Tamandua tetradactyla: one gene and its partners. The protein of the gene in region 4 interacts with the protein of the main gene of each other region in a biochemical or structural test. Links are inferred from orthologs where the notes say so. Each region holds a gene or a part of one and is shown on either strand. Other genes may lie near its edges. The genes, in order: SMAD5, AXIN1, RHOB and SMURF1.

Region 1 (7,737 bases), on a different chromosome or scaffold from region 4:
ATCTGAGGTCTTCCCGCTTTAAATACCGCATGGCCAGCAAGGAGCCTTGGACCGACTTCTGTCCTCTACTTCTCACCAAAATATGTGTGAAGAAACAGAAAGGACCCAAGGCTCATAATTCCTGACCTACAAACTAAATTTGAGGAGAATTTCTGCCAAAAAGATGACCAAATGGAGTATTGGGGGAAAAAAATGGTGGCACCCCTACTTCACCCCCTGAAACAGAGCAGCCCTGGCTTCCTAGAAAGCTACTTCAGCAACCTGTGTTTTCTACCCCTCTAAGAGGATTTACAACAGCCAGAAAATCAGGCAGACAGTTTAGGACACCAGGAGGCTGGCTGCCTTTTGAAGTGCTCTGAGGACGAGGATGGACAATCACTTCTTATTCTACCCTCCACCTCCATCGTGTTTCTACATCCAATCAGAGGCTGTAAATCCTAGAAAGGACTGAGTAGAGGGTTTGGGGTGGGCAAGAGAGACGAGAAAGAAGGGTGGTTGGGTCCATTTTAGGAGACTGAGAGCTAAAGGCCAGTGCTGTGACAACAAGGAAGAGAGGTCATCGTCACAGCAGTTCCACGGGAGGGCTAGCACGTCTCGTGTATTCCATTCATTCAACCCACCATAAAGTCAGAGACTAGGCGATAGGAGAAAATGTACCTTTGGATAAGAGAGGAGCCCTAGAGCATTGAGGCTCTGCAATCAGAGCTTTATGATTTTATAGATTTTTATATTGCCGTTCCAAGTAAGATTGTTTTCTAAGGAAAGGTTCTGCTGAAAACCACGACAGTTATTCCTGCTAGACACTGGAATTGGGACGTGAAATATTATACCAATTTGCTCTACTGCTGATTTCGTGAAAAGGGGGACCTAGCCCTCCACCCACTCACTGTCCCAGTATTTCTCTCAGTGTACAGAGCAAAGTGAGAAAGGGACAATTTAAACCCTAATGAAGTACACGGGAACAGAAATAACATCTTGAAAATACAGAGCAGGAGCATAACAATGCAAATATGACAATGATTTGTGACGAAACCCAGAAGAAAATTTTGGAAAATAATTGGGACCTTCCATAAACACAGCTTCTATGAAATAGGAGTAGACAGCCGTGTGGAAAAAACCAGACGAGATGAAAGAGCACATAAGGAGGGCAAGGAAACTCATATATTAATGGTAAGATTAAAATCATCTGAATTGGAGGCAATAAAAAGTAGAATTAATGCCCAGAAAATTAAATCACTGACATGGAGGATAAACATTAATGGTCTTTACAAAATGCAGAGGAAATGGGAAAAGCAATAAAGATTATGAGAAAGGAAATGATCTGCTTGGGGGATAAATAATGGAGACAAGTTCCAAGAAGAGTAGGCTAACCGAAGCAAGAATGAAAATCAGTTGGGTGTAGAACCAGTAAAGCATCATTGAATTATGTATTCCAGAGATTTAAATAACGTATGAGTGTGCGAAGCAAAAATAAAACCATAAAAAAGAAAGAAAATATAGGTGTTTATTGATGTTAGGCTGAGCAAGAACTCCGTAAACAAATAAACAATAGCAACAATGAATACATATATATATATGTAAAGATTAATAGATTTGGATGCATTTTGCCAAGTTTAAAGAACATCAAAAACATTGAGGTAAATTATAAATTTGGAAAAATGTCTGTGACAAAGACAGACGGTTAATATACCTAATCTATGAGGTGCTTTTCAAAATAAGAAAAATACTAACACCCCCCCCCCCCCCAGTATGAATGTTGGATAGTGGTCATAAATAAAAAAATTAAAGGAAGACTCAAATGACCAATAAATATTTGAAAACATTTAGCCACATTAGTAATCAAAGATATCAAATTCAAAGACAAGATAGTACTAGATAACATTTCTGCTTTTCAGATGTGCAGATTTTTTAAAATTTGGTTCTGAAAATCATGATTTGAATAGCACTCCCCTCTTGCACTTGACTGGTTCCTCTTCTCCTTGGGGTTTCAGTTTTACCTTCACTTCCGCCAGGGAGTTTTCTCTGACCACCCAGGCTACGTCATGTCCTCTAATTGTCATTTTTCATTGCATCTTCTACTTTGTGGCATTCATTTCAATCATATTGTGACTGTGTGTGTGAGTCATTTGTTCAGTATCTGGCGCCCCAATGAGACTGTAAAGATAACTAAAGCTTACATTGAGAATTTACTCTGTGCTAGGCAATATTTAAGTGCTTTTTGAATGTTCTGCATTTTTCTCCCAATATGGAGTCTCTGTGCTTGTTTAAAGAGGAGGAAACGGTAGCTTAGCAGAAGTTCAGCCCTTGTCCAAGCCCTGCCGGCTGGTACCTGCCTCCCTTGGCTAGAGGCTAGGGCTCCTGGCCTGAGAGCTGCAGGGATCTTTTCCAAACTTTTCCCACCCAGAGTGATCATTCAGAGGCAAAGCCCCTTCCTCCAGGAAGGGACCAGGTCTTCCATTCTGGACCTCATGCCGTACCATGACATCGTCTGAGACTACGATAGGAAACCAAGCTTACTTCTCAGAGTAGTCTAGTTAGAGAACACTCAAAGTTCACCTTCATTTTTTTGGTTCCACACAGCAAAACCTTTCACCATGGCACTCATCTCCGTATTTCAAGATGCCACATTCCACCATAAAGTTACAAAAGAAAAACTGTGGGGTGGGGTGGGGTGGGGGGAGGCACTGAGGAATTCATGATTCATGCATCCAAATCCTTTCTTGGATCCCCAGAGGGAAATTGCATGCTACCTTTATTATGATGCTTTGTCATCGCCAAATAAATAACAAGAGAAGCAAGGGATTTTTTTTTCAAGATAAAGGAAAGGTTAGAATTATTTAAACTTAAATCAAGTGCAGACAGGTTTATCTCCCTTCCTACCCAAGGAGATAGAGTCCAGGACTGGGTGAGCTGGTGGTAGGGACTCCAAGATTGGAAGAGAGCAAATGAGCAGCTGGAACAGAAAGAGGGAGAGTTTCCTCATGAACCCAAGTGGCTGACAGGGAGCAGAGAAAGGACTGGAAAAGGCTTGCTGTTTTGTAGGATAGTGACACTTCTAGGACCTTCTAATCTGCTACAACCCCCTTAACACAGGATTCACAAGAAACAAAGTAGCACAGTTGAGTTGTTTAAGAACCCGCCTGTGCTTGGCTGTTAGCAAGGTCTGAGTTTAATTCCCAGCTCTCTCTCCTTCCTGCGTGCCTTAAAGCTTCTTAACCTTATTGACTCCAACTCTCCCATAAAAATGGGATAATAAAAGGGGCTGCTTCATGGAGTTGTAGTGTAAGATAAGGACGTAGCATAGAGCTGGCATGTTGTAAGTTTTCAGCACACGTTAAGCATTACTATTTCAGATGGGCAACCTGGCCTGCTGGCAAAATGGATCTCTTTCTTTAAACCTGAATTATTTGTAGTGGAAGTATTCTAAGCTAAAGTGTATATTTTACAGGCTTATTAAATAGAATACTCTAAATATAGTCAATGCTTTTGCTTTTATTGAGCTTTTCTTATACTTAATAAACCTCGTTGTACAAACACGGACAATGCAGGCGCGTATAAAAGTGAAATTGGAAGCCTGCCTTGTCTGCTTCTCTTCTCCAGGTAACAATCCTTAACAGTTGGTGGCATATCCTTTCTGACTGGATTTCCTGAACGTTCCATCAGGCGCTGTGTGGCAGGGAGGCGGCCATCTGAACAATGCAGGATGCCAGCCTGTGGCGGCTTCACATCAGCGGGCCTGCGGGCCCCTCCCGTGTGAGTTAAAGTTGCATATTTCATGATTATACCACAGAAAGAGCGGTAGTATCTTAGAAATAGCCCTAGAGGAGAGACCTGAAGCTCTAATTCCCAGTCCTCATCCTTACACTTATGACCTGTATGAACCCAGAAAAGTCACTTTACGCACTAAGCCTCAGTTGCCCCCTCTGCAAAATGAGATTTATGAACTAATTCATGGTTACTGATTGTATACTATGGGTTAGGCACATTGTGAAACAAGACAGACAGCTTTCCTCGAGTTTGCATCTTAGAAGGAGTAAAAGGGTGATAAATCAAATACATCGGCAAGTGAATATCCGATGAGGCTATGAGGATAACAGCCAAAGAGGGTGAGGTGATAGGACATGACAGGTTGCTTATCTCCCAAGGTTGCTGAGACTCCAAATAACTTTCCTCAAAGGGTTTTGTAAACTAAACGCATGATATAAAATGTAATTTAATTCTTAGGAAAAAAGAAAGGACCCGTATATTTGTAACACCAACCACCCACGATACTGTGATTCTTGAAGGAGAAAGGGGCCTCAGGAGTGTGTACCATTGAGAAGTGCTGCTTTAGAGTTGATAAAACACTTTGTCCATACTTTATCTCAATCTGTCCTCTATGCTTGCCAAAAGTCGCAAAGATATGGAGGCAGGGAGTGGTGTGAGAAAAGAGAAAAACTTTTCTTTTCTACAGACCAAAGCCCACTTTGTATAGTACTTAAGTTAGACCCTCACCGCTAGTACTGGAATGCTTGCAAAGCAGTAAATTAGGGGGTGGCATCCTGGAGCCCGAAAGACCAAAGTGCTGCCACATCCTTTCCAGGTGCAGCCTTTCCGGTGTTTACACTTTAACAGCCGCAGAAACCCAGCACAGAGTGCTCTGAGCCCTGACGGAAGACCAGTAAGATATTACTATGAAGTCAGTTTTACATCATAATGATGAAGCACATTTACAGAACTTGATTTGAAATTTTCATCTTATACTGTGCTGCAAACTGGCACTGGGTGAGTTTGGTATCACTCTCCCATGTTGCAGATGAGAAGACTGAAATTCATAGAGGAGAAAAAAACCCTCCAAACTGGTGGCTGAATGCCCTCATTGGGTCAGCAGGCTCCTGTTGAGCCCATCTCTCCCCAGGATCTCAGGCCACACTGGTTTACTTCTTGGGTTCCCCCCGCCCCAGCCTGTCCATGCTCCTCCCCATTTCCACCTCCCTCTCCAAATTACATCCTCCTGTCAATTTTTTTCTTCTACCATAGCACACTTTTGCTTTCCCTGTGCACTTATGAGAAAACACCATTATATTTTCAAGTGTGTTTATTTGTGTATTGCCGGTTGTTCCCGTGATGAACCCCACGTCCATGCCTCTTTGGTTCACTGCTGAATTCCCAACACCGGGGACAGAGCTCGCGAAATATTTGCTGGATGAAGAATGAAGGAGGAAAGGAGGGAGGGCCAATTCGTCGCTTTTATTCGAAGGTTTAAACATAAAACATTACCCCCGAGATAAAATCAAAACATTTCCCCCTGATATTGGATAATGAAGATGTTTGAACATGTAGAAAAGTGGAAAGAATTGTGCACTACTGAGTCAACAGTTGTTAACGTAGAAGAAGAGCTGTTACCTGAGTATTGTCAAGGACAACTGAATGTAACGCCAGGCTGGCTGATTATGACTTGACTATTCTTTGGAAGCGACTGCTTTGGGAGCCCTCACGTTCAAATACTTCGTTCTGCAGCAGTGATCCAGAGGCGGCACCGGGCATAGGAGGCCTATGGGCGCCCACACACGCGGCTCAGTCCTCTTTGCGGCTCGTGGCAGTATTAGGCGTAGGAGGGACAGGTCTGGGCCTTAAGGCCTCATCAGTTATTTCTCTTTCCCGAGTCTGGTTTCTCTTCTGTGAAAATGGGGATTCATATACCCGATCTGCCCACGCCATCCCTCACCAGGCCAGGATGGTGGGAATCAGATGTAGGACACTGTCCTTTGTAAAATGACAAAGCAGGAAGTGCTGGTGAAATGTAGGGGAGTATTGCAGCAAGGGGGCACACACAGAACCCCTGGGTATCCGTTTGTTTTCCTTCTCACTCATTTGCTGTGTTAACGAAGAATTTCAGGTTGACTCTGAGCTTCTGTCATCTGGCAGAACTTTGGATCACAGCCTCGTGACTCCTCCTGAGCACATGGACTTGAGCCAAAGGCAAACCTGTAAGGGCCTCTCAGATACTGCCCACTCCCCAGAAGCTGCATCGCTTTGAGTATTTTGCCAAATCTCCATCCTGCTCTTGGAAGAGGACTTGAGCGGAGAGAATGGAGGAATAGTTGTCTCTGCCTGCCCCTTCCCCAAACCCCTGGCAGCAGGATTCCTGTGCCATCTACCCTCCCACTCTCTTTCTTCTCCCCCCTGCTAGACTAAAACTTGTAGGGGAACTTTGGCCCTGAATTTCAGCAGGAAACACACCCAGCAGCCAGATGTCTGACTTTTTCACCCCTTGGCAAGGATTAGCCATCTTCCCTGTAAACTTCCGGCTTTTCCTTTCTGTTAGATCTTTCAGCTTCTCCCTTTTCTATCTCCTTTAGTTCATAGACATGGACACTCTCGAGAGGAGAAGCAAAAGGTAGCTTGCAAACTGCTGCAGACTTGCTGAGTGTTTATATACTCCATTCGGTAAGTTCGTTGTTGGTGAATGTTGGAGAGTTGGGGGGTGGGGGACGAGGAGGGGGTGGAGTGGTGGAGGGGACCCGGTCAGCATTCAGACTCATTTTGTCTGTCACTAAATGTATATCCAGTGAAGAACCGGTGCCTTTCATGATGATCAAACAGGACAGATAATTAGATAAATTCACAACTTAAAATAACACATGAAGGAAAATAAGTGCAAATTCTATTACCATCAAAGTATTTGAGTGTGAAAAAATAATAGGTAAAACAGACCTCTCAACTTCAGGCATAATGAAAGAACCAGCTCTTCTTTGACAAACGAATCAGACCTCAGAGAACACCTCATCCACTTCCTTCACTTTCCAGGTGGAAAACTGAGGTGCCGGGAGGGAAGGACTTGCCCCAGCTCTCTGACCGATGGTGAAATGCGGTATCCTGGCCCAAAGGCTCACACTTGGCTCTGTTGACATCTCTCCAGAGATATTTCTGGAAAAGAAGGATTGCATTCGCAGGCCTGGGCCTGCCCTGCCCACTGTTCTGTCTCCTGTCCTCCTGCTCCCGGGCCGCTGGCCCCGCCTCCCTCTCAGAGGCCCTCTCTGACCTACAGTCCCCGCCAGGAAGCAGCAGCTGCAAAGGGGACCCGGCTTTTCTCTCACGTATGCACCAGTCTTCCAATAAACACCTTGAAGCGGGAGAAGCAGAAGCCTTTTTTAAAAAGTGTAAGAGGAAACATTTCTAGAAAGAACACTGTCTTCCAAGTCAGTACTCTTAGACTATTCTCCATGCAATAAGGGGCAAGTGTTTCCCAAAGAAATGCATGAAAAGCGGGTCATCACAGGAAACCTTTACAACGAGATTTTGAGAAACTGAATTATCACTTCACTGTACAAAATTGTCATTCTTTCCTTCTCACCAGTTTTCGCCTGATATATCTCCCTTCACTAGTGTGAATTCCCACTCCACCAGGCCTGACTGTGTGGTTTTGGTAGTCACTGCCCCTCTCTGTGCCTCAGTTTCCTCACCTGTAAAATGGGGATTATAGTTTTGATTTCATATAGTTGCCCCAGGGATTGTGTGAGATGAGGGCGAGCATACTTAGCATGCGGTTGGTGCTTACTAAATGCCCTCTGAAATAGAGGCCTATAACTATGTCCCTTACCTAAAGGGCTCTAACAAACAGGAGGATTCCTTTTCGGCAAGCCCCGCGGCACTTCGTTGGGCAGCCCCGGCTGCCTGCAGGAAGGAGGACAGGTCTGAGCCTGGAAGGATATGTTCAGTGGCAGCTGGCAGGGTTCCTGTGAAACCCGAGCTCCT
Region 2 (7,944 bases), about 50 Mb from region 4:
CCCCCCCACGCGGGCTCTGGCCGCAATCCCCTCGCGACCCAGCGGGCCATGAGGGTGCCCCTTCGGAACGCCATCTCTGGAAACTCTCCGGCTCACAGCCCGCCTGCAGGGAGACGCACACACCCGGCCCCGCAGCCCGCAGGCACCCCTCAGCCGCAGAGCAGGAGGGCAAGGCAGCTCCTCTCCCCTGCAGGACCCCACACACTGCAGCACCCAGCCTGTGCTCCAAGGGGCTGCCACACCCAGACCCTCTGGGCGCCACACTCTCCTTCCAAAAAACTGCAAGTTTTCCAGCACACCCCCCGCCCCCACCAACAACCTGCAACCAGGGCAAGCTGTGTGGGCCCTAGCTCAGCGCATGTCCATAACAGCTAGCCAGGAGGCCACCCCAGCCCCGGCCTCACGGGTGCTTCGTTCAGAAGACAGGCTGAGGGCACTGTGGGCTACCCTCTTCCGGTAAGGAGAACACCCTTCCCACAGCGGGTGGAAGGAGGGTACTTCAAGGGGCAAGGATGGTAAGCCAGAGCCCCCTCAGGGGCCGTGGCAGCTGCTACGAGCCCACCCTGGGCCACTCCGCGAGGCGTGCTGCGAGGAGCGCAGGGCCCGCTGAGCAACAAGACCACACTGCCAAGGCTGCAGAGGGCCCACAGGGCACTTCTGCAGCTAAAGAGTTCTTAGGAAAACGCCCCGGGGAGCAGCCAGAACAGCCTGCTACCTAAGGTCGAGGCCCGGGAGCCAGGCACCTGCGGCTCACAGGCCACTTTGGCTGCAAAGCCGCTTTCTTTCAGCCCCATTCATGCCAAGGGAGCACCTCTGTGCCCGCAGCTCTGCCCCAGCTTGTCATGCTGTATGTCCTCTCGTCCAGGGTGCCATCTCGGGAAAGAGGGTCTCATTCCTGACCACCTGTGCTCACCCGTGGAGAGAGCCTACAGCTCACAGCCTCACAGGAGGAGCGAGACACTGGATCACCAGGGTGACTCCCCTACAGCCTCTGTCACATGTGTCCACGCAGCCACCTGCAGCAGCTCTGATTTACATGTTTCCTGCAGGACACACAGCACTTACAAGGTCCTGCAACTAACCAGCACCGACAAATACATACGGACATAAAGGAAAAAGAAAGTTGTCACATTCTCCCCACGCCAGCGCCTCACAGGTGCTGAGCGGCTGTTACAGACACGGCAGCAAACCTGAACTCTGACCCCTTATTAGCAAACTGCAGCTTTCAAGACTAACCTTTCAATTCATGTGTGAACCCAGTCCAACCTGGCCATCCTGGGTTAGTTTTCTAGCACAAAAGAACCACTTCTTATGGGCCCACCTGTTCCCAGCCTTGGCACCCGGTGAGCCAAGGCGCTGAGGACTCGGCTCTGCCCTGGGCCCTGCTCTGCACACACACAACAGTTCCCTCAGTCCAGGTCAGAGCTGCCAGCAAGCACCACGCCGGCCCCCAGCCAGGACCACCACCGATAGAGCGTTTCCATGAAAGGGACCTAAGAGGCTGCTTCTTTTTGCCACTACCTGGGCATACCCCAGCCCCCACGTGGCCCACCCCAAGAGCAACCACACAAGCATATCTGTGGACGGATGTGGTTACATCTTTTACTTAAACATAACTTCCGAATTTTTTAATTACATGGAAAGTGAAAGAAACGGTATGCCATAACTTCCGAATTTTTGAATTACGTGGAAAGTGAAAGAAACGGTATGCAATTCTGACAATTTTCCTACTGTCCATTAATTCAACTCTTGAAGAGTCAGGGCTATTGTCTGAAATGCAACCCACTCCCCACTAGCTGGATTCTCAAGAACCAACTTAAATCAAGAAAGTCACTTAGCTTTTCTAAAATTCTACATCCAAGAAAGTCACCTTGTATTTCAAATGTATTCCCACCCCTGTCCCTGGAGAGACTTTTCTAAAATCAAACTCGAGCTTCTGCTGGCTATTTCTGTGATCCAGTTCAGAGCAAAGACCCAAGTACACCTGAGAACCAAAGTGTGAACAAAAAGGGGCCCATGTGCACAATACAGACCTTTACAACTGCCTCAGAGTGGGGCTGAGAAAAGCACCTGAAGGGTAACATCTCTGTTATCCTCAACGACAAGCTAAAAGTTTTACTACCTTACCTGCTGCTTCCTTTCATCAGGGGTGTTAAGCTGCAAAGTGTGGGTTGCAGGTAAAAATCTTAAGACTCATTACCCAGGAGGAACACCTGGTTTTTTGGTGGCAAGGTATCATCCTGAGGGGTAAGGGAAGCCAACCACAGCATCCTGCACAGAGAGGGGGTGCCCTCCATGAGTGCACACAGCTCTTCCTGTTTTTTTGGGGGGGGTGCAAGGCGGCGGCAGGATCCCTGCAGACCATCCAGCCCGGGCAGCTACTGTGCACCCACTCACCCGCTGAAAGCTGCCCCCCGCCAGGGTCCGCGGCACCCACCCACACCCGGCCCCACGCACGGAGCAGAACCCTGCGTCTTCCTCACTTCCTTTCGCACCCCTAGGCCCAGAACCCGCCCAGACTCTTCCCCGTCCGCACACCCCAAGTCATGGGGCCTTGCCCCTATTCCCCGCCAGTGTCCGACTCCCAAAGCGCGACACCCTCACGCCGCCCCCCGCGACCTCCGCGCTCCCTCGGCCCCCCCCTGCTGCCCCGCCCCCCGCTCACAGCAGTCTGGCGGCCCCCCGGGAACCCGCGCGCCCTGGCCGCGCACACTCCCGGCCCCACCGCGCACCCCGGGCCCCGGACACCCTCGCCTCCCCGCGCACCCAGGAGCCGCGCACTCCGGCCCCCACGCCCCCGTCCCGCCCCCGCCCCCGCACGCCCTTAGCCCCTCTTCCGGGTGCCGCCCCCGGCCAGGCCTCGCGCGGCCTACAATGGGCGCCCGCCGCCCTGCGCGCCCTCTGGCCCGGCCGCGCTACTCACCCGCACGGCGGCGGCGGCGACTGGGCACCCGGCCCGGCTCCCGAAGCGGCGCGGCCCATGCGCTCAGCGGCAGCGGGACGGGCGGGACGGCGCGGGGGCGCGGCCGGGGGCGGCCCCCATCGCCACGGCCTCGGCGCGGGCCCGGGGGAGGCGCTGGGCGCCGCCGAGGCCGACCGCCCCGCTCACCGGGCCTCTGCGCGGTGGCTGCGGCTCGGGTCCGATGGCACGGGGTCGGCGGCGGCAGCGGCAGCGGCGGCGGCAGCGGTCGGTTCCGGAGCCGGAGCCCGGAGCGCCGAAGCCAGGCCCGAGCGCCCCCGCCGGCGCCGCCCGGAAGTGCGGGGGCGGGGCCCGGGGTTCAGGGGCGGGTCGGAGAGCGTGAGGGCGGGCCGGAAGCGTAGGGGCGGGGCCAGAGCGTAGGACTGGGGTCAGAGCGCATGGGGGGCCGGGGTTGAGGGCGTGGCCGGGAGCGTGGGGGCGGGACCGAGAGCGTGGGGCGGGGCCGCAGCCAGGAGCCAAATGGCTGCAGGCGCGGAGGCGTGGACCCGCGGGGCGGGGCGGGGCTGCGCTGCGCAGGCGGGGTCCCGGGACTGCCCGGGGAGAAGCGCTGGTTTCGCCTCGGTGTCCGGGGTGGGTGGCGCAGAGGAGACGACGCTGGGGAGAGCCCTGAAGGGCCGCCGACGGCCCCACCGCCCACCTTCGCCCAGCCGGCCAGGACCCGAGCAGCCCCCAGGCATCCGGGAAATGCTCAGGACCCTTGGCCGGAGCTGCAGCTTGCAGAGGGCTGAGGTCCGGGGTGGCGGAGGGGCTGTCCTCCTGCCTCTAGGTCTCCCCAGCACCATCCAGGGTGCAGCCTCGGGCTCCCTGAGGGCGAGGACCTCGGGGGTTCCGGCCTGGCACCCACCCCTCTCTCCCAGCACCGTCTTGGTCTGCGGTCGGCGCCTAGAAGCATGGCCGGCCATCGCTGTGCTGGCCACCTGCCCACCACAGGCCCCGGAGGTCTGGCAGCCACCCAGGAGTAGCTTTGGCCCACGGGACGCGGTCAGCTCCAGGGCCGCCCCACAACAAGGATGTGGCAGCAGAAATTGCAACCTCCATGCCCCCAAAGTCACATCTCCTCCCCTCCAGTGATTCGGTGAGGGCCTTTGCCCTGTACTGGATGTACCAAAAGCCCCCCGGGGCCAGCTCTACCCCCAGTTCAAGTGAGGAGGCTGCGGCCCACGGTCAGGGCCTTGCTCACCTCCTGTGGCCTGGGGCACCCTGCATTTCTGCACCCCCAGCCGCCAGGCCCTCCTGTCCTCTACCCCCTGTGGCTGGTCACTTGCCATCCACCATGATTCCACCCCGCTGCCACACTGACACCCCCGACCACCCTTTCCCGCCACTGCTATGGCCTCTCTGGACCCTTCCCGCACTGACTGGGGCAGAGCAGAAGTCCCAGCCCAGCGCGCGCTGGGCCAGCAGCCAACCTCGGCCGGCAGCACCCCAACCCCAGTGACGCCGCGAGAGGGAGGACAGGCCCTGGGAGAGTGTCCCCAGGCCTCCACATGGCAGGGGCATGTGGACACCAGCCACAGACAGGGCAGGCAGCGCCTTGTGTCCCACGGTCCCAGGGGAGACTGAGATGGTGTCCTCCATGGCACCGTGGGTTCCACGGGTGAAGGAAACTTGGAAGGGCTGAGCCGATGGTGCCCTCAAGGGTGCCTACCCCCACGCGTCCGGCGCTTGCCTTGGCTCTGCAGAGCCGCTGCTGCGGCCAGACCAGGCTCGCAGGGTTGCATCCACGTCTGTCTTCCCGCTGGCCCACGGCGGCGGGTGTTCCCAAGGCCTGGGGCCAGGACGCGGCCCTCGGGCTTCCTGCTCCTCGGGCCTGCCAGCCTGCAGGGACAGGAAAGGGGTCAGAGAGCCCGGGAGCAGCGCAGGGCCCTGTGGGCGGATAGCAGGGGGGCAGGGGGCCCCCCACTAGGGGTCTGGCCAGAGGGGCCCTGGCAGGGGCAGCAGGGGCTGGTCAGCCTCAGCACGTGGGCTGCTCTCCACAGGGGCGAGTCCCCTCTCAATTTGGGGGTCTTTAGGATCAAACAGCCCAGTGCAGGGAGCAGGACCCAGGCACCCGAGGCCCAGCGTGGACAGCTGGTGAGTGTGAAGACATCAGCGCAGGATCTCCAAGAATGAAATGAAAACCGGGAGGGCAGGAACCAGAGCTCTACGTCAGCTGGGGCTTAGGGGAGTGGGGGAGCCCTCTGCCCCTGGATGGGTGCCCTGCTCCTCTCTCCGTGCCTGGCTGCCACACCAGAGGCTCAGCCCAGGTTCCGTCTATCTGTCCCCCATCCGCGGTCCCAGGGCTTCTCCCTTTAGGTCTCATGTTTACCCCCCAGAGGCCCAGGTGCTAGGGAGACGGGCCTGAGCCCCCGCCATGCCTGCCTGGCTCTTCTCCTGTCGGAAGGAATCGTCGAGGCCTGGGGTGGGTACCAGCTACCCCCCAACAGCCTCGATGCGTGCGGGTGAAGGTGGGGACTGCAGGAGGTGCTGCCCAGAACCGGGGTCCCCTCAGCAAAGTGGGGCGCCCCCACGAGCCTCAGACACTGCACAGGGTCGCAGGGGGACGTGGGGCCCCCGACTCGACTTCCCCAAGAAAGCCGGCGTCCCCAGGGCACTGCCACCACTCACCGGGCCCGCCACGCTCGGAGCTGCCCCCCCTCCCCCCTCCCCGCCTTTGTTGCTGCCAGAATCCGTCGTGGCAAACAAAAGTGCGGGGATTAGCTACAGGCATTAAATGACCTGCTCCTCCGAGGTCACCTTGCGACCCGACCGTCGCCCGACGGAGGCTTTGAGCCCCGCCGCCCCGGCCGCGCGCACACGCGTGCACACGCACACGCGCACACGTGCACCCTCTTTGATCTCCGAGGGGCTCCGTTCACCAGCCCTGGACAGCGTGCTGCCCCTGCCCCTGCCGCAGCCCGCTGTCCTTGGACGCCCGGGTAATGGGATTTGGCGTTTCTGATCCATCTCCCCCGTTAGGATGGGCGGTCCTTCTCCCCTTCTTTCTCTGTCCTCTTCCTTTTTGAAAAATGCTTCGTGGGAAACTGCTCTTTCAGCCACGCCGCCTTTGCACGGGACAGCGGGCCAGGGCGCGGTGCTGGGAGAGGGGCCAGCCAGTCGGGGGTCTTTGATGCCGCCCTCGTGACATCTGATGTGAAAGGCCCGGGAGGGTGATTTTCGGACCGGGGCGCGGTGGGGCTTGTCCGCCTCGCGCCGCCTTCTTTGTTTCCCTGCCCGGGAACCTTGCTAGGACATGGGGACAGGGCCCAGGGTGGGTGTGCGCAGGTGGGTGGACATGGCAGGCGGGCCAGCCAGGGGCAGGACCACGCCGTGGCCACAGTGGGCAGCGCGTCCACCTGTCTGTGCATCCGTCTGTCCACCCGCCCGCCCGGCTTACCTCACCTGCCTGGCTCCGCGCGCCGGCCCGCGGCCCGCCCTCCCGCTGTCCGCCATGACGGGCCTGGCCGTGTCCGAGCACTGGCAGCCAGTCCGGGCAGCAGGTCCCGCTCGGCCACTGTGGGGCTGGGAGGGACGCGTGACTCGAGGCTGCAGCTCGGGCTCCCGCCGCCGATTGGCTGAGGCGGGACCAGATGACGGCCTCGGAACCCTATGGTAGCCATGGCAACCAGCCCCCCAGCCCCTCCCGACTGCCGAGGGAGCAGGTGGGTGGCCGGTGGGCCCACACTGGGGTCCCCTCCGAGGGTCGAGTAGGGCGTGGCTGGACGGTGCAGCTCCTGCCCATTGCAGGGCACGAGTGTGAGTGAGGGGTCCCCGTCCAGCCCTCCTGGGCACCTGCTCCAGGCACTGCCCGGCCCCCAGGATGGCCCTGCTAGAGCAGGGCTTCAGGTCCGGCTTGCCCCAGCGGCTGAGGTCAGGCCCCATCTGGAAAGAAGCAAATGTGGGGAGAAGTGTAGGGAGGAACCCCGGTGGGCACAGCCACCGCCACAGCCATACCGGGGCCCTGCGCCTGGGCCTCCCCTACCCCACCAGACCCTGGGGCTGCGGCCACATTGCCGCACGGGGCCTGCAACTGCAGCTGCCCTCCGCCGCCTGGGGGCTGTCTGCCTGGGCCGCCTACCCCTGTCCGGAGAGCAGGGCTTCTCAACTAGGCATGGTGCGTCCCCACTGCACCCCCTGTGATGCCGGGAAGGGCCGGAGGCCACGCCTGTCGAGTGGACCAAGGGAAGACGAGCCTTTGGACGGGGGGCAGGGGTGGGCCTCCGGCCCCGAGGGGGGTGAGTAGCTGCTAGGGAGGCCGGGCCCCTGGCCGGGCCTCCAGCCTTGAGCCGCCCGAGGTGTGCTGGAAGCCACCGGCGAGCAGGCCTGGGCCAGCTGGGGACGGCGGACTGCAGGGGTTGGGGCTGCCTTCCTGGCATGAGGGTGTGTCACAGAGCCCACGTGGTGAGGGCAGGACAGGAGGGTGCGGGGTCTGGGCCGGTCAAGGGTCATGGAGTGGGGTCACTTGGTCCCCGGAAGTCCCTGGGAGCTGCTGCAAGGCGGGGCCTGTCAGACCAGCCTGGCGCCAGAGGGAGGGAGCCAAGGCTCTGTGCCTGGAGGTGCTGGGAGGCCAGAGGGATGGGCAAGCATAGGTGCACAGGGCGGGGCCCCGGGGCCCGGAAGGCCTGCCTCTGCCTTGCCATGCCACACCCTTCCGCAGCCCTGCAGACTGCACACCTGGGTAGGCAGGTGAGCTGCTGGGGGTGGAGGCAGAACACAGCCTACCAGGTGGCAGTCAGATCCCGCCAGCCCTCTCCTGGCCTGAGGTGTCCTGGACCTGGATGGGGTGATAGGGCCAGTCCTCCCACCCACCCTGGGGCTGTGGGAACAAGGCAGTGGGCACAGCAGGGCCCAGGGGCTGCAACCTCCATCCTCTCACTTTGAGGGCACTGTCGTCATGGAAGCACATGGGCTCGCCAATCCCCGGGCCCACAAGGAAGGAGCGGGGTTACTTGGTCTCTGGAAGTCCCTGGGAGCTGCTGCAAGGC
Region 3 (6,917 bases), on a different chromosome or scaffold from region 4:
GAAAGTCTGCCCCCACACCAGTGACTGACATAAAATGTCATCTAAATTTAAAATGCACACATTTTCAAGTTTCAAAAAATAGGACGCCAAGGCCCCAGAATAGATTTCAGCACAAGGGCTTGGTACATAAAGAACAAAATAGAATCCAGGTATCTGGCCTCACCTAATGGAGGGTGGGGTAGCTGGGCACCCCGCTCAGCTCCCTCTGCCACTGGCACAGGAGCAGCCAGGTCTCCCACACCTCCCAACCCACACGCACGCCCCAAGGGACGTCACTCCAATTTCCTACATATACGGTGAGGGACTGTATTTATGGTGGAAACACAGGATCTGGCCTAGCAAAGTCCTTCCCTTGCCCCAAATCCACCAGGAAACTTTTATATACTATTAAACCATAGCAGTCACTTTATAAATGTCATCATCATAGTCTTTTAATATTTTACATAAAAAAAAACTGTATACACAGCTTATAGAACTTTTATGTAAACATCATAAGCTCACCACTTTGTCATTTGTCAGTTTATTTAAAAAATAAAAAAACAAGACAATTTAGTAGAAGTACCACAGGGGGAGGAGGGGAGAAAAGAGAGAATAGGGGCAAGTTTATTCTCTGTACAGAGATGCAGAGAAAACTTCACATAGCTCTAGAGACTGCCTTCTGAAAAAAAACCCAAAATACCTTAAATAGGCCGGGATGCTTGTGACTGCCCTTTACCAAACGGGTGTGTGTAATCTGCACAAATAAAATCGCCAGTGTTGCCACTTTTTCCAAGAAAATAAAACAAAAATTAGTGCGTTTTTTTTTCTCTCCTCTCATTTTTTAAAAGTCATCATTTTAAATAAAACATCAGAAGTAGATGAGGTTACAGCATACAAGTGGAGTCAGACCGTCTTATGCAAATGACAAGCGCATTAAGTGTCAAACAATGAAACAATTGTGCAAAGAATTCTTTTGGGAAAAAAACAAAACTAGTTTTTAGCCTTTAAATAAATCAAATAACATCAGTTTCTTGAACCAAACAATTCTCACTTGTTGGACAGGCACAAAGTTCGCTTATGGCAAAAACAACCCTGCGGCGCAGGCTCCTCCTGGCCCGGCGTTCCGGAAGGCTGCGGGGGCTGCGCGTGGGGGGGCCCGCTCACAGGAGCCGCTGCGCCGCGTCCGGAAGCTGTGTCCTCTCGGCCCCAAGTCAGTTCCAAATGTCTTCCCCGGAGGCCGCCAAGATGGCCAGATCCAGTCTATGCTTAGATGGGCGCCTGATCCACGCCTGGCCGGGGCTGTTCCGGCGCCGTCCCTCCGCCCACCACCGCCATTAAATAACATCCTACCTCCCGAAAATAAAATTAATCTATTTTTATACAGCACCCCTCCCCCCGTCCTCCCCAGCCCTCCCCTCCCGCAGTTCCCGGGGTCTATGTTACAGACAAGGGATGGCAGGCGCTCGCTGGTTAGGGGCGAGCAGCGGACGGGGCGCGGCCGCGCTCGGCTCCGGGGACCTGAGGCGGGGGCAGGGGGCGGCCACTGGGCGGGGGGGGGGGGGCGGCCGGCCACACACGCAGCCGCACTCGGAGGCCCAGCTCTGCAGCAAAGGATGCTCAGGGGCCCGGGGCACTCGGCAGGGTGCCCGGGACCGTGCAGCACGACCGGCCGCACAGAGAGACACGGGGAAGGGGGCGCCCGGTCCCTCCCACGCCGATGGCCGGCGCGGTGGGGCCGCTCGGGGGCGCGGATCCCCCCGTCTCCGGGCTCGCGAGGGGCAGGCCGCGAGGGGGGGCGGCGCCGGCAGGGGGGGCGCGGGCCAGGCGCGGCCCTCATAGCACCTTGCAGCAGTTGATGCAGCCGTTCTGGGAGCCGTAGCGCTTCTGCAGCGCGGCGCGCGTGGCCGTCTCGAACACCTCGCGCACCCCCTCCTTGGTCTTGGCTGAGCACTCGAGGTAGTCGTAGGCCTGGATGCGCACGGCCATGGCACGGCCGTCGTCCGTGCGCACCGGCTCCTGCTTCATGCGCGCCAGCTCCGTGCGAACGTGCTCGTCGCTGCGCAGGTCCTTCTTGTTGGCCACCAGGATGATGGGCACGTTGGGACAGAAGTGCTTGACCTCGGGCACCCATTTCTCGGGGATGTTCTCCAGCGAGTCCGGGCTGTCCACGGAGAAGCACATGAGGATCACGTCTGTGTCCGGGTAGGAGAGCGGCCGGAGGCGGTCGTAGTCCTCCTGGCCCGCCGTGTCCCAGAGCGCCAGCTCCACCTGCTTGCCGTCCACCTCGATGTCCGCCACATAGTTCTCGAAGACGGTGGGCACGTACACCTCGGGGAACTCGTCCTTACTGAAGACGATCAGCAGGCACGTCTTGCCGCACGCGCCGTCGCCCACCACCACCAGCTTCTTACGGATGGCCGCCATGAGCGGGCCGGGCCCGGGCAACAGGAGGGGGCCCGCGAGCGCCTCGCCGCCGTCCCGCTCGCCGCTCACCGCTCACCGGGGGCTGGGCGCCGGGGGCGAGGGGCGCCGGCTGCACCCAGGCCCCGCGCTGGCGCTCTGGCTCGCGCGCTCCGGCGGCCGCGGCGGGGGCGCGGGGGCATAGGGTGCGCCGCGCGGCTCGTCCCGGGCGGGGGCCGCCGCCTTTGTGCCGAGACGGCCGCCCGAGCTGCGGACCCGGCCTCGCGACCCCTCGGGGCTCTCAGCTGGGCTGGGGAGCGTCTCACGGCACGGGAGGAGCGCACGACTCCGGCCAGACTGCGGCGGCAGATGCGGGCTGCGGCCCCGGCGCCCGCTATTTAAAGCGTCCGGCCACTTTCTTAATATAGCTGCCCAATGGGAAGCGCGCAGACTGAGCTCATCGCTGCGGAGCTTGGCTCCGATTGGTCGCACGCTGCAGCCCGAAGGCGGGGCCGGGTGCGCTTGATTGACAACCCGGGCCGCGGGGCTGGGAGAGGCGGTGCCTCGGGCGTGCGCGCCGCGGCTGGCGCGGCGGGGCCGTGGCGGGGCCGTGGCGGGGCGTGGCCGGGCCTTGGCGGGGCTCGGGCTGTGGCTGCGCACGGGCCCCCGCGAGGTGCGACCGGACCCCGCCGTCTCCGGCCCGCGGCTCCGGGGAGACGGTGCTCCGTGGGGCGTTGGCGCCCCCTCCCACTCGGAATTTCCCCGCGGCCCTGCGAGCTCCCGGTGGGTTGGCGGCTCCCTGGGGGAGGGGGCGGCTCCTAAAGGTGGTGGTGTTTCTAAATAAACACACGCGCGCACACACCACTTCTGTCTCCCTTTCATTCAGAACCGCCGTTCCTCTAGTCCCGCCGGTACTCGGCCTCCTGGCAGCTCTTCTGGACCCACGAGGCAGGCGTGGGCCAGACTGTGCACAGGGGGCCTGGGCGGAGCCGTCCGTCCTTCACCCCCCGCTTTCGAGTCTTCTGGCCTACCCCTGGCCTGGCCCCCAGCCTGGGCTTCAGGTGAGGAATAGAGGAAGGAAGGCCCAGGGCCCCCGTAGATCAGTGGAAAGGGAATTTCTAGGCTGGCTGCAGAACTTCCCGTCCACTTTGAGGAAGTTACCGGTAGGGAAGGACAGCCCAGGCCCTGCTCCGCGTGATTAACTCTCATCCTCATGGTTAAACCCGAGAAATGTCAGCACTGGAGGACTGCAGAGTCCACCCCCTACCCCCACCCGGCCGGGAGCCGAGGATGGGCCAAAGTCCGGGAAAGGGGCAGAGATTTGCAGGCCCCGACTCAGCGAATTACTGCCTTGGGGACGGTCTTCTCTATGCCCTGGGCCCATAGGAAAGGACTCCTATGCCTGGTGTACAAAGATGGCCGGAGTTGGGATTTCAATGCACAGAAGAGGTGGGAAGGAGGAAGGGGAGGCGTGGGTAGGGGTGGGGTGGGGTGGTCTCCTGGGAAGGAGGAGCCGCTCAACAAGGCTGGAAGGAGGGAGAGAGGAGGGCGGATTCTAGCAGCGGTGCAGAGCTGTGTTTGGTGGTGAGGGACGGTGGGGACAGGCTGGAAGAAGCGGGTAGCTGGCTAATGCGCATTCGACCCATTGCTGGGACAGAGAGTGGCTTCCTGGTTTTCCATCATGAAGATGTTATGCCTCATATTTCCGTCTCCCTCTGTGCTGAGCCATTTGAGGGCTGGGATTCTGTCTCCTGGGAAACCTAGCACAATGCCTGGCACTTCGCAAGAACCATTAAATGGAGAATTAACCAAAATGCTGCGGAACTCAGTTGAAACCTTCCAGGGGTCCTGAACCTCAGCTGCAGGCTCTGCTGTAACAGCCCGCGGAGCCCAGGCTGGGCTATGGCTGAGCCCTGGTGTTTGCAGCCAGCGTTGGCACACTGAGACCCAGGGCGCGTGGACTCGGCAGGTGTGGCGAACCCGGCGATCAGGTCAGTGAGCCACGAGTACCACAGCCCTTAGTCCTTAGCCTGGGGAACAACTCCTGAAATGGCCACAAAGACTTCCCTTCCCGGGATTGGCTGCACAACAGGGCCCAGCTCTCTCTGCAAGCGACTGAATGATTTTTCCGCAGTGCCATCCCATGGCCCAAGGGTTTTGTGTTTTTTTTGATCATTGGTTTAAGGCTCCCATCTGGATTTTTTTTATTTTTTTTAGTTAGCCTATTGGAGAAATCTTATCTGCACACATTTTTCTTCTTTTAGTCAAAACCTTTTATAGCTGTACTGTTTAGACTACTTTGCATGGTCTTAATATAACTTGGGAATGTTGGCTGTGCCCTGAAGCCTCAAATATTAAGAAAATATTAGACCGTTCAAACTTTGTACCATGTTTTAAAAAAACACACACACAAAGAATCAGGAAGAATGATCAAATTTACTCATTTCCCAATTTTCACGCATGCCATAGGAGCTGTGTGTGCCAAGCTCGAATCTCAGTATTGCAATAATTTCTAAAAATATTCGTTTGGTAAACATGGCAAAGTACACAAACAGAAAAAATTCACGTTCTGCAGCAACTTCTTTTCATGGTGTTCGTTTCTTGTCCAGAGATAGTTTGACAAGAACTGGGAATACCAGCTGCCTCAGAGGGGACGCTGCGTAGAGGATGCGCGTGTCCACACTCGCCACCCCGCCTCCCCCTCCCTTCCCAGTGCTGCCACAGAAAGGCAAGGACAGCATTTGATTATAAGAACAAGTCATTTAATAATTAACTTTGTTAACACATAGATCCACCATACAACTGATAACGTGAGAGAGGGAGTCGATCCTTCCGAAGAAGAGTATCAATTTCTCTCCAATAGTCTACTTAAGTTATTTGGCCATTTCTTTGCCCAGGGTGTCCTGTGTATCCCCAGTAAATCACCCTGAGATTGGAATTTTTATTAGATTTTAGCGCCTCCTTGTGGCAATCTTTACATTCTTTCCTAAAAGAGACATTATAAAAAACATTTAGTCAAAAAAACGTGCATTTTATGAATATTTTTAGGACCTCTCAGATGATATAAAACTAAAGTATGACTTACAAGTAACTTCTTTTTCAAAAGCATTTCTATTGTGCAATATAACAAATGTACAGAGAAGTGATAAATTTCAAAGCACAGCTCAATAAGTAGCAAGTAGCTTCTTTAGAAATCTTTATCTATATATTCATACACACCTATATAAAATCTTGTTCATATATGCATTTTTAAGTCCTTCCTAGTTAAATTGTAAGTTTGAAGAGATTAGCAGAGGGATTTAAAAGTCTTCGTTTAAGGAGGAGCTTTTCATGTCTAGGAAAATTGTCAACCTTCTACCTCTGGGTGAGAAACAGTAAAAGTAGAAGGGCTCTTCTAGAACCAGCCATCCTGTCTGATGTGGGGGGCGTCTGGGTGGGCTTGGGGCCCAGTGTCCTGGCTGAGGGGTGTCCTGCTGCTTTCCGGGGTGTCGGCTCTGAGCAGCGGCAGGGCTCAGGGGACCAGCCCGGCAGCCTCAGGGCTGCGGGCCTGGACTTCGGCCAGAGCCCCATCTACCCGTCCGGGGGCAGGAGAAGGGCAGTGGGCAGTGGCGGGCAGCTTCTGAGCGCCCTCCAAAGCAGTCAACTCTTAGCACAAGTGCCCACTGCGTGCCGGCAGCACGGCTGGGGCAGAGCTGTGATTGCTATTTCAGTTTCATTCATTCAGATTTAAAAACCAGTGTCCGATTCAGCTATTGGGAAATGTTTCTGTGTGTTTGAAACAACTTGGGTATGGGAATCTATTTTTTCAAAGGAAGTCTTATGAAACCTAAACACGGATCAAGTATTCTCGGTAAAAATCTCACGTCTGAATTGAGATGTGCCGTAATTTTAAGTTAAACCCTAGAATTTGAAGACTTCAAGTGAAAAAAAATATGAAAAAGCTCATCAATAATTTTTATATCAACTACGTGTTGAAATGAGAATATTGTGAGTGTACTGGATATATTTTTGAATTTTGGCTATATTTGAGTTTATTCTTTGAATTAACATTCACCTTTTCCCTTCTTACGTTTTTTAATGTGATATTAGAAAATGTTCAGCTGCACATGTGGTTCACACGCCATTCTGTTGGGTGGCGCTGCTGTACCTGTTGGAAAGCTCAGCAGGCCGCCTGGCCTCTCTCAGGGACAGTGGCCTCTCTTCGGCAGATCCCCCTTTAATTGTCCTAACCTCAGTGCTGGACTTCTGAGAGGCTCAGCCACGCAGGGCACTCCGTGGTCTTGTGGCCTCGGGCAGCGTGAGCGTCCCCCTCCTTCCCACTTGCGGTCAGTCCTTCCAGGCCAGGAGCCCCCCAGTCCTTTCCTTCCACCCCCTGAAAGCAGCAGCACCCCCCCACCCCCCGCTGTCATCCCCAACACGAGGCAGGTTTTCTAAACAGCAGAGCCTGCTGGGGCCTTGGCATTGAGACTCCCTCTCCTTTCAAAAGAGAGAGGCAAACCCTAGCACACGCACCCACCACCACTGCGGAACATATTACA
Region 4 (7,876 bases):
ACCGAGCAGTCGCACTCTTGAGCACTTATCCCAGAGAAATTAAAACATATGTACACACACACACACACACACACACACACACACACACATACAAGACCTGTACACAAAAGTTCAGAGTAGTTTATCTGTAATAACCAAAAACTGGAGCCAGCCCAGATGGGATTCAACTAGTGAAGACTTAGACTGTGGCGCACACGACTGCTCGTGGAATACTATTCAGCAATGAAAAGGAATAGTTTGGAAGAATCTCCTGGGAATTATGTTGAGTGAAAAAGGACAATCCCCAAAGATCACATACTGTGTGGTTCCATTTATATAGCATTTTTGAAATGACAAAATTTTAGAAATGGAGAACAGATTAGTAGTTGCCAGGGGTTGGGGGACGATGGTATAAAATGGCCACAAGGGGTCTTTGTGGTGTGGGAACTGTTGGGTGTCTTGATTCTAGTGATGGATCTATGGAACACACAGGTGTTAAAACTATATACCATTTAACATCCATAGCCACACTAATCAGTATAGGTAAAACTGGGGAAATCTGTGTAACCTCGTCATATTGTTTCAATGCCAATATCCTGATTGCGATCTTTTTTTGGGGGGGGGCAGGCACTGGGAATCAAACCTGGGTCTCTGGCATGGCAGCGAGCACTCTGCCTGCTAAGTCATTGGGCCCACACCTGATTGTGATCTTATACTATGGTTTTGCAAAATGTCTTCTGGGGACGCCAGGCAGAGGGATCCCTTTGTCTTATTTCCATCTATACAATCATCCATCCATGATGATCTCAATTAAAATTTCAATGAGAAAAAAATACTAAGTTATAACCCTTACCAATGATGATAATATAGTCAGCCTTGCAGATTGGAAATATTAGATCTGTCACTTAGAGAAAGACCCTAAAACCATCTGGGCCTAAAAGAATAAGTAAATAAATGTGCTAAGTATCACAATTTTGCACATCCAATTATTTTAAAAACTTGATGTTCAGATGAAAAGCAAAAGGAGTTTAGCTCCTAGCTCTAGAGACGACTGTAAGGGCTGATCTCATCCAGCCACTGGTGTCAGAGGCACTGGCTCATGTACAGAATCGTGCTCTCGAGAGGCATGTGGTATAGCTGTCCACTCCTGCCAGGAATACTCTGCACAATTTCCCAAACTTCCCCAATAGTAATTGCGGCTGCATCTCCCATAGTAGGCACTGGAACAAAGATGAGCACACACATTTTATATGTCCTACCACTCACCAAGCATCTGCTCTATTAGACTGCTAAGTCCACATCCAGGGTTTAACTTAACCCTCGTGCTGACTTTGGGTGAGAGACACTATTATCCCCATTTGACAGATGGACAAAGTGAGGCTTGGAGAATGTAATTAACTTGCTCTGTCCCCAGCTGAACTTGTGGTGGAGGCAGGGTAGCGGGTGGGCCTGTATGTGTTTTCTTTTCCAAAGCCTTCCCTGCTCGGTGTTACCTCCTGAACACATACATATGAGATAGTCGTAAAGATTATTGAATGATTATTTCCTTTAGAAGAGCGGTTCTTAATCTAGAGCCCTTACAACATCCACAAATTGCTTTCAGGAGATCATGAACCCACTGAAATTGGATGCAAACTTTGGCATCTGCCATGCATGAATTTTTTCTGGGGAAAGGGTCCAGAGTTTTCATCAGATACTTAAAGAGGTTTGACTCAGAAACAGGTTAAGAACTACTACAGCCAGATCCAAAGAAAGATTTTTATTTCCACTGGAAAATGTTTTCAGATGCCCTATAACACTGACGCAGGAAAATGAAACATTTGGGGGCAATAAAATCAGCTGCCAAGCCCATAGAAAGCAGGGTCAAAACTGCGCCTTCTAGACATTGCAGAGGACATGTGAAAAAACTCATTGAGTCCCAGCTTTGTTTCAGCAGAAATATTTGATAGTTCCTGTTTTAGTTTCCTAGCTTCTTAGACAACAGGAATTTAGTGGCTCACAATTTTTAGGCTAGAAGAAATTCAAAACCTAGGTGTCAGCCAGACAATGTTTTTTCCCTGAATATTGTGGCTGGGGCTGGCTGCTGGTGATCTTTGGTCCTTGTTTTTTATGTCACACGGCAGTGCACACAGCGATGTTGTCCCCTTTCTCCTCCGGGTCCCTTGAACTTCCTACTTCTTGCTTCTCCCAGTACTTTCTCTCTGTGGCCTTCTCTACAGGATTAAGACCCATCCTAATTCAGTTGGCCACACTTTAATTAAACAACCTTATCAAAAGGTCCTATTTACCATGGGTTCATACCCACAGGAATGAATTCAGATTAAGAACAACTCCAAACCACCGCAGTGTCCATGTGTTCCAGATGGTTTTAGAAGATAGTATTTTTGACAAAATTTGATACCGGATGAATAAATTTCAGGGTAGATCTTAAGTTCAGTATGAGGCCTAGGATAAAATCGCAGCTGATGACTTTTTTGTTAAGTGGCTGATGATTTTTAAGTGGGCAAATATCTTTTATCAACTTAGAGTGGGATAAGGTGTATGGATGGAAGATACTGCAGCTGTGCGATTGGTCTGGTGTTGGAAACTGCAGGAAAACACATTTACTTTCATGCCTTTGCATGAGAGGCTCCTGCTGCCTACAAAGCCCTTCTCCAGCCCTTTGCTGGCAAATACTGCCTCCAAGGTCCTTATATTGCCTTTCTGAGATCTCCCCATCCCCTCCCCAAAGGCAGATTTGCCCTGTAACCTCTCCCCTGGCCCTCTGTGCATATCTCTATCCCTGCATCAGTGTCAATTGTTTACGTCTGTCTCTCAGTTAGCTGAGCTTCTGAGATGCTGAGGCTGTGACTTGTGTCCCTGAATAGGTGGCCAAGATTTGGTGAATGAATTAAGTGTTAGCTTCTGATTAGGAAGGTTCTCCTTGTATAGTTTGTGGGGCAGCACACCATTAGGTGTTTCCAGTTAAATAACCGTAATTACTTGTTACCAAGTAAACAAAATACCTGTCAGCAAACTTCCAGAAAGGACCTCCTGGCCAGGGGTGGGTGGGGGCTGGAGGCGGGGGGGGGGGGGGGTGTTGATGAAATAATCAAGCAAAGGAAAGTCCAGACATCTAGGCAGATAAGAAAACAATGTGGTTAAGAAATAAATGGTTTCCAGGCCAGGAATGGTGGGGGAACAGAACAGGTAAGTAGAGAGAGAGAGTCGGGTTTGTTTGAGAAAGAATAGACTTCTTGAATATGGTAATAAAGAGGAGGAAATACTGACTGGGATGAAAGAAGAATGGGGATTATTTGGGGACATTAGACAACCAACTGTAAATGGGTTTATTCAGATCAAGGGACAATTGCCTGCAGAGAGAAACAGAGCTGGATTCTGGGTCTACTGTCCTGTAGCTTAAACACAGAACCATTTAAAGTCTGAGCAGCAAAAGGCCGTACAAATGATCCAGGCACACTTTTCTGAGGGATTGAAGCTCAGACAGTCAAAGCAGGACTCTGCTTTCATTTGGCTCAGATTGCAGCTGGCAGGCACTGCCAAGGGGCTCTAGGGACAGGGGCCTAGTCCCAAGACTGTGACCTCGGAAAAGGCCCAAGGTTGCAAGGGATGGCCACAACTGCCCAGAGCCTGGTTTCTTTAAGACACAAACCAAATAAGCGAATTAAAAGAATTTGTACATTAAAAGGATTACATAAAGTGGGTCAAAGACGAGTTTGATCAACAACCCAGCCTTCCTTTCTGTTAATATATTTCTTCTTCTCTACACCACGTTTGCAAGGGAATGTATACAGAGCTTCTAGTTCTAACCTGTAACCCTGAGAGGAGGGGAAGTGTTAGCAGAAGGCAGGGAAACGTAGGCGGTACTGCTGCTTGTCTGGTCAAACCGTGTGCAGACTGGATCATGACCAGCATCTTCTCTACCCCTCAACTTTATCCCTCTCACAAATCTTGTTTATCGTGTCCATACACGGTACTTTCTGCGCGATTCTGGCAACTCTGTTTCGGGTCAACAGAGTGCATTAGTTGCACAAAACCCACCCAAGGGACTTTGTCTCATTGAGAAGCCGCCCCCTTGAATCGGCTGCATTATCTGAAAACTCTACTCAAAATCTTCTTGAAGGCCCGTGTCGCTTGCGCAAGGGGCTTAGTCTAAGAACAGGCCAGGGTTTCATGGAGGCCTCCCTGCAGGAGCTTAGCAGGAGCCCGGGGCCTTGAGCCAGAGCCCAGGAAAAGAATTCCATCCTCGGAGCCTCCACGTTCCCATCTGCACGTCGGGTCCCGCAGAGAGGACCAAAGGCTGAGGCGGGCAGCATCGCCCACCCGTGTCGGGACGACCCCTCACCCCTCACCCCGGGCACCCGCGCTTCTCCGCGAGTGGGCTCCGGGGCGCTCGGCTCCTGGGGCCGCCAAGCCTCTTCCCAGCTTCCTGGAGAAGCCCGTCTGGGCCCGGCAAGAGCAGGAAGGTCCGGGTCCGCAAGCTGCGGAGCAGCCGCGCGCCCGCAGCCGGGCGGGTGACGTACGTGCGCGTGTTGTCCCGCCCCGACGCAGCCTGGGCGCGCGCACGCAGACGGGGGCGCGCAGGGCCGGGCCGGCGAGGCAGGCGCCGTGTGCGCGCGCGGCTCGGGAAGGCGGCGGCGGAAGCGGCGAGGGCGGCGGGCGTCCGGCTCTGAGGTGGTGGAGGCGGCGGCAGCAGCGGCGGCTCTGGGCTGGGCACGGCGGGGAGGGCGCGAAGGTCTGGGCGCGGGGCCGAGTGCCAAGTCCCGGCTCAACCATCCACCCGCCGCCCGGACGCCTGGGCCGCGGAGTTTGTGTCCCGGCTCGGACCCCGGCGCCCAGCCCGGAGCCGTAACCTTGAGGCGGCGGCGGCGGGGCCGGGCCGGGCCGGGCCGGGGGGCGGAGGCGCTGGATCCGCGGCTGCCCGATCGCTGGCGGGAGATGTCGAACCCCGGGACGCGCAGGAACGGCTCCAGCATCAAGATCCGTCTGACAGGTACGGCCGGCGGGAGGCCCGGAGAGCCCCGCCAGCTCCCGGTTGCCCCGCACAGCCCCTCGCCAGCCCCGGAAGCCCCCTCTTGTCGCCCTGGGGGGTGTCCCTCCCCCACGCCGGCCGTGGTCCCGGGACCTCGTCACCCCCTCAGCGAGTGCCCCTCGCTCCTGCTCGGCCCCGCCCCCTCGCTTCTCCCCTGCTGACCCCGCCCCCTTGCTTCTCCCCTGCTGGCCCCGCCCCTTGCTTCTCCCTCCCGACCCCGCCCCCTCACTTCTCCCTCATGGCCCCGCCCCTTCCCTTTCTCTTTCCCAACACCTTTCTCTTGCTTCTCCCCTCCTGGTCCCCCCTCTCGCTTCTCCCCTCCTGGCTCCACCCCTCACCTCTTCCTCTTGGCCCGCCCCCTATTCCTCACCGCCCCTGTCTAACCCCTTCCCCTTCTCTTTCCCACCGCTTTTCTCTTGCTTCTCCCCTCCTGGTCCCGCCCCCTCGCTTCTCCCATCCTGGCTCCACCCCTCACCTCTTCCTCCTGGCCCCACCTCTTCCCTTCCAAGTACCCCTCCTTTTCTCCCTCTTTCTTCCCCCACCTGCCTCCTCCACTCTCCTCTCCTGGTCCCGTCCCCTCGCCTTTCACTCCCAACCCCCGTTCTCCTCTTTGCTTTCCTTTTTCTCTCTACCTGCCTTGTTGCATCTGCCCCCTCTTTCTCCTCCCTCTTTTCTCTGGCTCCGCCCCTCACTTCTCATGGCTCCGCCCTTCGCTTCTCAGGACCCCGCCCCTCACCTCCCGAGTCCCGCCTGGCCGGCCTCTCCGCCCGGCCGCCTGGCTTCTATCCGGATGCATCAACTCATCAGCCTCGAATTCCTTGGTTCCAGCGTCTGGCCTCTCCCACTCCTGTCCCCCCCACCTCTCCTCCTCAGCCAAAGCTCTGCAGTCTGGTCCGCTTCCTCCCTCGGTCTCAGGCAGGTCCCTGTGTGCCCCAGTCGGCTTCTTTCTGATCCGCCTTTCACCGTGGTCACCCCACTCCACGCCCGTGAGCCCCTGCTAGGCGTCCCTCCCCCCACTTCTTGATGCACTCTCATTTCGTCTTCAGCGGGTATAGGTGCAGGTCTCCGCGGCCGGCCCGCGGGGGCCGGGATGCGTGTGGACGCAAACCGCGGGAATCGGTGCCCCGGGGCGGGGGTGGGGGCGGGTCCGGGCTGCAGCCGCGTGTCCCAGCGCAGCCCCAGGTGCGCACACCTGAGGCGGGGTGTGGTGCTCCCATATGGCTGTGCCGGGGACTTTCCAAACCACAATACTTCCAGCTCTGGAAAGGAAATAAAAAGTTCAGTCCACTCCCTCGCAGGGATTTTTCCCTCGATTTCTCTTCTCTTTAGTGGCGGGGCCCAGTGGGGACTCCGAAATCAGAGTCTGGTCGCGTCCTTTCAGGGCAGCACAGCCTTGAGGTCATCTGAAAAATCAATCCATGAAAACAACCCGGTGGTTTCATGAAAACTAAAATTTAGAAAAACAAAGTTGCTTGATACATTTTTTGTTTCAAGAAAAGGGTTGCTTTTTTTTTTTTTTTAAACAAGGATGTTAGTTGAGGAATTATTTGGACCCAAACCAGACCCTGGATTTGTAAGGTAACAGGTGTAAACTAGGGATTTCTGGAGAGGCATAATCCTTTATACCAGGGTGTGGCTAGGAAACACTTCTCAACGCATAGATAAAAACAGTAAGTTATTTTTATGGCAACATAAAAGTCATGTTTCTGACGTTGTGATACTTGTAAAACTTTAATTACTGACAACCTTAATTTGGTTCTCATTTACAATGTAATTTGTAACTGAGAGCAGATCCATTTGTTTTCTTTTTCTTGTTATTAAAAGCCGAAGTACCTGATTTTGTGAAGTTCAGTAGAAATGTGATTAAAATTTTAGAGAGAGTAAGATTTCAGGTACAGATATATGCATCAGGTGTGTATATATATATATATATATATATATATATATATTAATCAAGTCTAGTTGGCAGACCTAGGCCTGGTTCTTTTCTTCTTGAAGGAGAAGATTTGTTTTGTACTTCTCCCAAATTATTTTTGGACTCAGGAATTTGGATGTCATAGATCCAGAAATGCCTACAGAGGTTTGGTATGGCATTTGCTATTAAAGGATCAGGTGATGCGTGTTCTTTCTGAAATAAATATTCCTTTTAAATTGGTCTGTGAGAGTGACTGCTCCTGCAGCAGGTTGAGAGTGAAGCAGTGATGGTGGAAGCACCTGGTGGCACTTGTCTGTTGCACATTAATTTATGCGGAAACAGTGACATTAAATAGTTTGTTTGAAGATAGAATAGGTTTTGACTTCATTTTTAAGGTTGTTATGGGAAGTTTGCAATCATTTCATTTTTGGCACATTGTGCAGATAATTTTCAAACGTTGAATGCTTCTGTTACTGGTTTCAGAGTTTATTTCCATGTGTGATATTTGAAAATAAGAATTTTTTAAAATGAGGGCTATCTAACTAATCGATGATTAATTAATTACACACAGAGCGTAATTAATTGCAACATATGCAGACACTGGAGTTGTGAAACACCATTTAGAACTTTTTGGGTACACAATTGTGTTTGGTTATAGGGCAAAAGTTTAGAGTTAGGAGTCATGGATTCTGGTCAGATCTACCAGTAAGAAAATGATATGAAACTAATTTTTTATCCTTTCCTAACATACGAAATGAGATTTCAATCCTATTATAATAGTCTTTGCTTCTACTTTTCATGGGATTTGTCAGATTTCACCTATTCATTCCAAATTATTGTTGGGGACTTGTGCTTTCTGTTGCTAAGTCTCAATCCTCATATTCAGAAATTTGTATTAAAATGTAGCCCTCGTGTTTGATTTATGCCAAACATTGATTTAGTATATTGAA

Evidence for each region.
Region 1: of the proteins of SMURF1 (region 4) and SMAD5, one has a biochemical effect on the other in vitro, tested with the Homo sapiens proteins (3 studies listed by BioGRID, with this or other methods). The link is inferred for Tamandua tetradactyla from reciprocal best matches to the Homo sapiens genes SMURF1 and SMAD5.
Region 2: of the proteins of SMURF1 (region 4) and AXIN1, one has a biochemical effect on the other in vitro, tested with the Homo sapiens proteins (2 studies listed by BioGRID, with this or other methods). The link is inferred for Tamandua tetradactyla from reciprocal best matches to the Homo sapiens genes SMURF1 and AXIN1.
Region 3: the proteins of SMURF1 (region 4) and RHOB form a complex in vitro, tested with the Homo sapiens proteins (2 studies listed by BioGRID and IntAct, with this or other methods). The link is inferred for Tamandua tetradactyla from reciprocal best matches to the Homo sapiens genes SMURF1 and RHOB.

The regions. Positions count from the first base shown.
Region 1 is NC_135346.1:15,399,296-15,407,032, forward strand, and holds the start of SMAD5 (mothers against decapentaplegic homolog 5), read left to right. Parts: upstream 1-4,734; 5' UTR 4,735-4,764; intron 4,765-6,341; 5' UTR 6,342-6,429; intron 6,430-7,737. UniProt on the Homo sapiens protein: Transcriptional regulator that plays a role in various cellular processes including embryonic development, cell differentiation, angiogenesis and tissue homeostasis.
Region 2 is NC_135349.1:56,967,147-56,975,090, reverse strand, and holds the start of AXIN1 (axin-1), read right to left. Parts: upstream 3,012-7,944; 5' UTR 2,924-3,011; intron 2,359-2,923; exon of another isoform or gene 1-2,358. UniProt on the Homo sapiens protein: Component of the beta-catenin destruction complex required for regulating CTNNB1 levels through phosphorylation and ubiquitination, and modulating Wnt-signaling.
Region 3 is NC_135329.1:3,528,971-3,535,887, reverse strand, and holds RHOB (rho-related GTP-binding protein RhoB), read right to left. Parts: upstream 2,461-6,917; 5' UTR 2,404-2,460; coding exon 1,813-2,403; 3' UTR 505-1,812; downstream 1-504. UniProt on the Homo sapiens protein: Mediates apoptosis in neoplastically transformed cells after DNA damage. Not essential for development but affects cell adhesion and growth factor signaling in transformed cells. Plays a negative role in tumorigenesis as deletion causes tumor formation.
Region 4 is NC_135349.1:7,194,447-7,202,322, reverse strand, and holds the start of SMURF1 (E3 ubiquitin-protein ligase SMURF1), read left to right. Parts: upstream 1-4,863; 5' UTR 4,864-4,917; coding exon 4,918-4,972; intron 4,973-7,876. UniProt on the Homo sapiens protein: E3 ubiquitin-protein ligase that acts as a negative regulator of BMP signaling pathway. Mediates ubiquitination and degradation of SMAD1 and SMAD5, 2 receptor-regulated SMADs specific for the BMP pathway.